Linked DNA regions of Danio rerio. The protein of the gene in region 2 interacts with the protein of the main gene of each other region in a pairwise test. Links are inferred from orthologs where the notes say so. Each region holds a gene or a part of one and is shown on either strand. Other genes may lie near its edges. The genes, in order: wbp2 and epn2.

Evidence for each region.
Region 1: the proteins of epn2 (region 2) and wbp2 interact in binary tests that used the Homo sapiens proteins (3 or more experiments, as listed by UniProt). The link is inferred for Danio rerio from reciprocal best matches to the Homo sapiens genes EPN2 and WBP2.

The regions. Positions count from the first base shown.
Region 1 is NC_133187.1:47,454,505-47,458,969, reverse strand, and holds the start of wbp2 (WW domain-binding protein 2), read right to left. Parts: upstream 2,841-4,465; 5' UTR 2,768-2,840; coding exon 2,709-2,767; intron 1-2,708. UniProt on the Homo sapiens protein: Acts as a transcriptional coactivator of estrogen and progesterone receptors (ESR1 and PGR) upon hormone activation. In presence of estrogen, binds to ESR1-responsive promoters. Synergizes with YAP1 to enhance PGR activity.
Region 2 is NC_133178.1:38,608,408-38,612,240, forward strand, and holds part of epn2 (epsin-2), read left to right. Parts: intron 1-957; 5' UTR 958-1,151; coding exon 1,152-1,746; intron 1,747-3,833. UniProt on the Homo sapiens protein: Plays a role in the formation of clathrin-coated invaginations and endocytosis.

The DNA.
Region 1 (4,465 bases), on a different chromosome or scaffold from region 2:
ATTAATGTACACTGACCCTGCCAAATAAAACAAATAAATAAATTTAAATAAATTATTATCATTTTAATGTAATATATAATGTAATTAATAATAAAATGAATATCAATTAATAATTGAAAGCTATGTAAAATAAGGGTAATTAAAATGTTAATTATAAACTGTAATGGAAATTAAAATAATACAAAATTGTTATTATTTATTGTGAATTATTATGCATATAAATTTATATATATAGTTGAAGTCAGAATTATTAGCCCCCCTTTGAATTTCTTTTTCTTTTTCCAATATTTCCCAAATTATGTTTAACAGAGCAAGGAAATTTTCACAGTATGTCTGATAATATTTTTTCTTCTGGAGAAAGTCTTATTTGTTTTATTTCGGCTAGAATAAAAGCAGTTTTTAATTTTTTTTATCATTTTAGGGACAAAATTATTAGCCCCTTTAAGCTAATTTCTATTTCGATAATCTACAGAACAAACCATCATTATACAATAACTTGCCTAATTACCCTAACCTGCCTAGTTCACCTAATTAACCTAGTTAAGCCTTTAAATATCACTTTAAGCTGTATAGAAGTGTCTAGAATATCTAGTCAAATACTATTTACTGTCATCATGGCAGAGATAAAATAAATCAGTTATTAGAGATGAGTTATTAAAACTATTATATTTAGAAATGTGTTGAGAAAAATCTTCTCTCCGTTAAACAGAAATGGGGGGGGGGGCAGATAAACAGATAAACAGGGGGGCTAATAATTCTGACTTCAACTGTACTGTACTGTTACAGGTCCCTGGCAGTCGGCAGTAGTCTTGAGAGAGATAAGAGTTTAGCTTTTGCTTCACAGTCCTCTTTGTTGTCTTTTAAATTCACATACACATTTGTATGTTAGAGCAAAGAGCTTAGAATGATGATTCTAACACTTTGCATTACAAAATGATTTAGAAACATGTTGGATAAAATAATATACACTGTATAGATACTTAAATCAACTCACATTATGATAAATAAATAAACAAACAAACAAACAAATAACAACATGAAACCTTAACCATTTGTACAGAAATGCTATGATTTTTATCACATGGCTGAGTTAGTATTAAAGTTAGAAAGACAACTCAGTTAAGTATTGCGGGTAAACTAAGGAATTTTTCCTAAACTGGAATAATATGCAACAAATGTGTCATTTATCCATAATTGAATCCATCATTATAAAATAAAATAATGTAAAATGCTTCAATTTGTTTTTATAGGAAACATTCAATTCTGTTACTACTTGTTGTTACAATTAATGTTAAGCATATTCATATGTATGGGTATATAGTGTTATTAAGAGACATAATGTCATTCCCGGTGTCAACAATCTCTTAATCAGTTGTGTAATATGACACAAGCTCTTGTGAAACAGTGTATTCTCCTTAAGAACATGTCATTTCTTTAAGAAGAATGTTAAGAAGATTATTGCTTGACCTACTGTGGCTGAACAGCACAAATGCGAATCCCACTAAAGCGAGGGCTGAGCTCATTAATATTAATTACGTAACGTGGCTGTTGTCGATAGGCCAATCTAATTAGCAACATGTCAGAGCAGGGTTGCATAGGGACAGATGTGTGTCATGGATGGATGGATGGATGGATGGATGGATAGATAGATAGATAGATGGATAGAGATATAGACAGATAGACAGATAGACAGATAGATAGATAGATAGATAGATAGATAGATAGATAGATAGATAGATAGATAGATAGATAGATAGAAAATAGACAGATAGATACACACATAGATAGATAGATAGATAGATAGATAGATAGATAGATAGATAGATAGATAGATAGATAGATAGATAGATAGATAGATAGAAAATAGACAGATAGATACACACATAGATAGATAGATAGATAGATGGATAGATAGATAGATAGATAGATAGATAGATAGATAGATAGATAGATAGATAGATAGATAGATAGATAGATAGATAGATAGATAGATAGATAGATAGACAGACAGACGGATAGAGATATAGACAGATAGATACAGAGATAGATAAATAGACAGACAGACAGACAGACAGACAGACAGACAGACAGATAGATAGATAGACAGACAGACAGACAGACAGACAGACGGAGATTAGATAGATAGATAGATAGATAGATAGATAGATAGATAGATAGATAGATAGATAGATAGATATAGATAGATAGATAGATAGATAGATAGATAGATAGATAGATAGATAGATAGATAGATAGATAGATAGATAGATAATTTACGTGACTGAACGCTGCAGGAAGGTTTCCAAGCAACTCGAGCGTGACTGAATTAATATTCATGAGCTCAGGCTTCGCCATAGTAACGTTCTCGAAAGCTGCGCAGGATCTGTTTTAAACAATATCAACTCATCTAACTGGTTATCGGTTGCATTTATAGTATACAAACTTAATAATGCATAAAATAAACACATAAACGTCAGACAGTCAGGCTACACAGCAAACTAATAAATGGGTGTGATCTAACGGTTCACCCGACGTGATCCAAAACACATGACTATCACTGTTCATACCATGATAAACAGTAAATACAGAGATTAACTGAATGTGGTCGTTGCTTTACAAATCTGTGAAATCATAAAAAGCCTATCTGTTTTAAAATGCAGCGCAATAACGCGATGTAGATAATAGTGAGTGCGATTCCGCTACATTACCCCTCGAAGTTGTTGATGATGACACGTCCAGATTCATCGTGATTTTTATTGAGAGCCATGTTTGATTTCTGTCTGTTATGCTGTCAAACTGACCCTCTACATTCTCCGAGCGCAACTCAATGAGCCACCTGCACTTCCGCCATATGTCACGCCCCTCCGAGTGACGTCATCTAGCAGGGTTTAGACCGGTTTAGACATTTCCCGAACCTTCTCAAATAACCCATAATAAACAGATTGCTGCTTATCCATTCTAATGGGATTTAGATCAATTTCCCTATATTGGTTTCATTATGAATATAAAATGTAAACGGAAAAATCTGTAAACAACAAGTAAATAACATGTCCATTTAAAATAATATTCTAAATAAAATAGTTTTTAAGCATTAGTAACAGTTTAAATTGACCTTGACAGTGAATTAATGAACAATTGAATTAATTAAAAAATAATAAATATAAACATTCAGAAATAATATAAATCAAAATTAATGAAAATATGACTTAATAACTATAGAAATGGTTTTGATTTTACTAGCATTACAACATGAACGAACGAATGAATGAGTTGCTTATCTAATCTAACAGGATTTAGCTAAATTTTCCTATAGTGTGTTTATTACAAAGATAAAATGTAAACGATGTGTAATAACATGTTCGTTTAAAATATTATAAATTGGTTTAAAGCATTTGTAACAGTTTAAATTTACTTTGACGGTGAATTAATGAACGAATAAATTAATAAATAAATATAGAAATTAATTCATTAAAACAAACATTTATATTCATGATTAAAATAAATCTGCAATAATGAAAAGGTGACTTAATAACTATAGAAATGACTGATTTTACTTGCTTTTAGAATATGATTGAATCAAATAATCAATGAACTTCTAATCTGATAGGATTTAGTTAAATTTCCCTATATTATAATATTTATATTTATTTTTTTCCAATATGAATAAATGAATGAACTACTTATTTAATCTAATGGGATTTAAATGTTCCTATATTGTGTTTATTATGAAGATAAAAAGTAAATGTTGTGTTAATAACATGTTCGTTTGAAATATTATAAATTGGTTTAAAGCATTTGGTTTAAAGCAATAAATTAATAAATAAATATAGAAATAAATTCTTTAAAACAAACATTTATATCCATGATTGAAATAAATCTACATTAATGAAAAGATGACTTAATAATAGAAACGACTTTGATTTTACTAACATTACAACATGAATGAATGAATGAATTAACTGCTTATCTAATCTAATGTGGTTTTGGTAAATTTTTCATATTGTGTTTATTATGAAGATAAAATGTAAACGTAATATTTTATTAAGGTTAGGGGGGCATCCCTAACCTAACATAAACCCAAATTGTACCTTACTAACTATTAACAAAACAGCTAATTATTTTATTAAGCTAGTAGTGTTAGATTAATTGTTTGTTAATACTGTGAATTGTGGCCTAAACTAAAAAACATTGTTGCCAAAATATGTGGTAAAAAGTATACTACTTATTACAGTTTATCAGTTGTACACATTTATATATTTTATTTTGTTGTATGTATTAATTATAAATAAAAAATATAATTCAAATGAAGTGCAATTCAGTGCCTCCATATACTTCTTAGCCATACATATCAGCCTTTTCCACAAAATTGCAGAAATGCTGATAGCTCTAAATTAATCCAATATCGACTGATAAATATTGGCAGCCAATTTATTCGTGCATCTCTAAAACATGCATATATATATAT
Region 2 (3,833 bases):
ATATTGACAGGGCTTTGCCAGACCTGTTTTTTTAGTATGGAGGAGGCCACCACTTACCCTGAATCCTCACACAGACCCGGGCCTGTGTGCTGGCTTCCTGGGCCCCCGTCACAGTGAGGGCCACTGGAGCTTTGTTCCGGTAGTGATACAGTTGCCCCTCTCTTCCTCTGATGTGCTGGGCCTGAATTGGTCATTAAAGCAGCAGATGTTTCATTAGGCCGTGGCTGTATTCATGTGTATGCGGGCTTGGGGAGAGCGGCAGTGGGGGTTGCTCGTAAGGCAGCGCTCTATTGGCTCCTCCACAGGAGAGCAGGAGTCACATTTCAGTAGCTTTTAATGAATTTATGGGATGGGTTGAGATGTTTTGTTGGCGAATGAAGTATCCCGGAGTGCTCATGACAGGAATCTACTATTTAGTATGATTTTTAGACTAATCTGCTGGCGCAAATGAAGCGATAAAGTGTTTGGGTTCTGATTTTTACATGTGCTACTGTAATCTAGAGCACAGTATGGCGCAATTACGTTTGGGAAATAAGATGTCTTCCCACATGAGTGTTGTGTTACCGTAAAGATGAGTAATAGGAAGCACTTTTCACAATACTCCGCCTTTCAGTGTGTATGCAGTTATCTTTTACTCCACACGTTTCGGGGTGGTAAACTGCTTAGGCTTAGTTTAAAGAGTGAACAGCTGTAATCCATTTCTCTTTATCTGTGGTATTAAGAGGAGGAGCTGCAAGTGCAGTTTGGAAGTGGACCATTAAACTTCTGTTCTGTATGATCGAGTGATAACTTTCTTTTTGTTGCATATGAATGGAAAGGAAACCATCAGGATAATTGTGTTTACTGATTCATGTGCTCTAGATTTTATTGTGTGGCCTAATTGTTTTTGGCAACTATTACTAGCTGCTCATTTGAATCTTTTCTGTTTCTGTCTGACATTTTGGTTTTGTGTTTCAGGTAATGGAGGAATTCATCGAGCTGGCTTCCTTCACTCTGTGGAAATGGTTTTAACAGACACCGAGTAACACAGAGAAACCGTTTCAAACGGAGAACGTGTGCTCGAGCTATTTCACAACAGGCCTTTTTTTGTTTTTAAGCAAAACTGAGTTTATTATTTTTGATTCTCAAGGATTTTAACACTACTCGCCACCATGCCAAGCTCAACAATTCGGAGACAAATGAAAAATGTTGTAAATAACTATTCAGAGCCAGAGAAGAAGGTCAGGGAAGCAACTTCCAATGACCCATGGGGGCCCTCCAGTTCTCTGATGTCAGAGATCGCTGACCTCACTTACAATGTGGTGGCCTTTTCGGAGATAATGAGCATGATTTGGAAAAGGTTGAATGACCACGGAAAGAACTGGCGACATGTGTACAAGGCCCTGACGTTGCTGGACTACCTGATCAAAACGGGCTCAGAGCGAGTGGCCCTGCAGTGCAAAGAGAACATCTTTGCCATACAGACTCTCAAAGATTTCCAGTATATCGATCGGGATGGAAAAGACCAGGGCATCAACGTCAGAGAAAAGTCCAAGCAGCTTGTTGTGCTGCTGAAAGATGACGACCGTCTGAAAGGGGAGCGATCTCAGGCCCTGAAGACTAAGGAGCGCATGGCACAGGTCGCCACCAGTGTAGGCAGCAACAATCAGATCGGCTTTGGCCGTGGCTCCAGCCAACCCAACCTCTCCACCAGTTACTCGGAGGAGTACGGCAAGTCTGAGGGGTCACCTGCATCATATCATGGATGTAAGTAGATGTTTCTTTAGCTTGTCAACTTGCCAAACGGAATTGTTTTCATGTTGCCATATTGCAGTCTAAACTGCTATAGCAGGGATGGGCAAACTCGATCCTGGAGGGCCGGTGCCTTGCATAGTTTTGCACGAACACTAATCAAACACACCTGCCTATAGCTTTCTAGTGATCTTATCACGGTATGTGATAAGTACCTGGATGACTTGCTACTTCCGGCGAGATTCTGAAGTGTGCATTGGATGCACGCTACACTATCCTATCATGTACTGCTAGAAAATTTATGATTGAATGTGAAGCGACGCAACTGACGTGGGTAGGTCACGTGACCATGACGAAATGGCGGATGTAGTACATCCAAGTTTCCGTTTATTCTGCTTACATTCATACTGTATAGAATAGTGGTCACCAAACTTGTTCCTGGAGGGCCGGTGTCCTGCAGATTTTAGCTCTAACCCTAATCAAACACACGTGAACAAGCTAATCAAGGTCTTTGTAGGTATACTTGAAACATCCAGGCAGGTGTGTTGAGGCAAGTTGGAGCTAAACCCTGCAGGGACACCGGCCCTCCAGGGCCGAGATTGGTGACCCCTGGTATAGAAAGTACTTTTCTAATGTCAGAGTAGTATGTTTAAATTCAAATGCAGTACCTACTGAGTAGTAGGTGATTTTAAATGCAACCACAGATTAGTGTGTTCAGGTTTGTTTGATAAGTGTTGGATCAAAACACTGCAGGACACTGGCCCTTGAAGATTGAGTTTGCCCATCCCTGTGCTAAAGCATAGCACATAGCCTTCTGCAGTCACTCGCAAAGAACAGTTTTGCAGAGATACCATCAAATTTATTTCAAGTCAGTTTGATTAAGTTGATGGTTATAATATAGTTTATTTTTATGGGAGGAAAATTTTGAAAAACTTGTATAAAGAACTTTATAATGCTATAGAGAACTTTCTGTGGCATGGAAGGTTTTGTGAATGTAATGGTTGTTCGTGGATTTAAAATCATTTTTTAAATATTTTTAAATCAGTAAACTAGGCATGAGACCATAACCGGGAAAAGTCAAGGTTTTAAAACTGCAACATTTTCTGCTATACCATTCCTAAGGTATATTTAAGGTTTTTTTATTACGTGTTTTTTATTAGGACTACAGTATGTCCAGCAGAAAAGATCTCCAAACACACCTTTACCGGTTGAAATAGATCTGTGTTTTTAAAGCTAATGAAGACAGCAGAAGTCAAGGATTCATTTGAATCATTTACTCTGACTTGTTTACTGCACCAAAATATTTTAAAAGTTTCTCTAAATAAAATTAATTTTGTTTAAAGAGGAAGAAGTTTTAGTTTTTCACCCAGACATTAAAAAAGTTTATATTTTAGAGCAGAAATCACAATACCGTGAAACCATGATATTTTTATCCAAGGTTATCATACTGTCAGAATCTTATATTTGCTGTTTTTTTAAGACATTGTAAACAGAATGCCAGAGTCCCACCAAGACCTGGGGTGTGTTTGGTTCTGTTAAACCTAATTTCTCAAAGGAATTGCTCTGTTAACACGGTTTGTATGAATGAATGTGAATGCTGCAATCCAATCTACAGTTTAGCAGTCTCATCCCACTTCCAAACAGGTTCAACAGAGATCAACATTTGCCATTGAATTAACCAAAATCAGGGTGATGCCATTAACCAAAATGCATAAGCCTACCAGTTTTATTCTGTGTATGTAGGTTTTTAAATCTGCTGTGACTGTGATACTAAAGGTTTTATCTTTGGTTCCTTAAATGCCACAGGCTGCATTATTCTTTAAGACCAAATTATGCCCCTCACCAACAGTAAAAGGTTGGTAGCTTGCCGTTCTTTGCCCTTTATGTTTGAAATGTTGCTGTTAACGGCAACGACAAAAACTTTGTTCAAGCGATCGTAAAAGTCAACTTTGTTGAATTAATTTTGATAAACTCTACACACCTGGAGCTCTGACTGCATGGGGCAAATTCTTTACCCTGCAGACCAGGAAACGGCTGGTGTGCTGTTACCCTGCAGGAGACACATCCTCAGTTGTGCCTCCCTGCAGCAGTGAGTGGCTGTG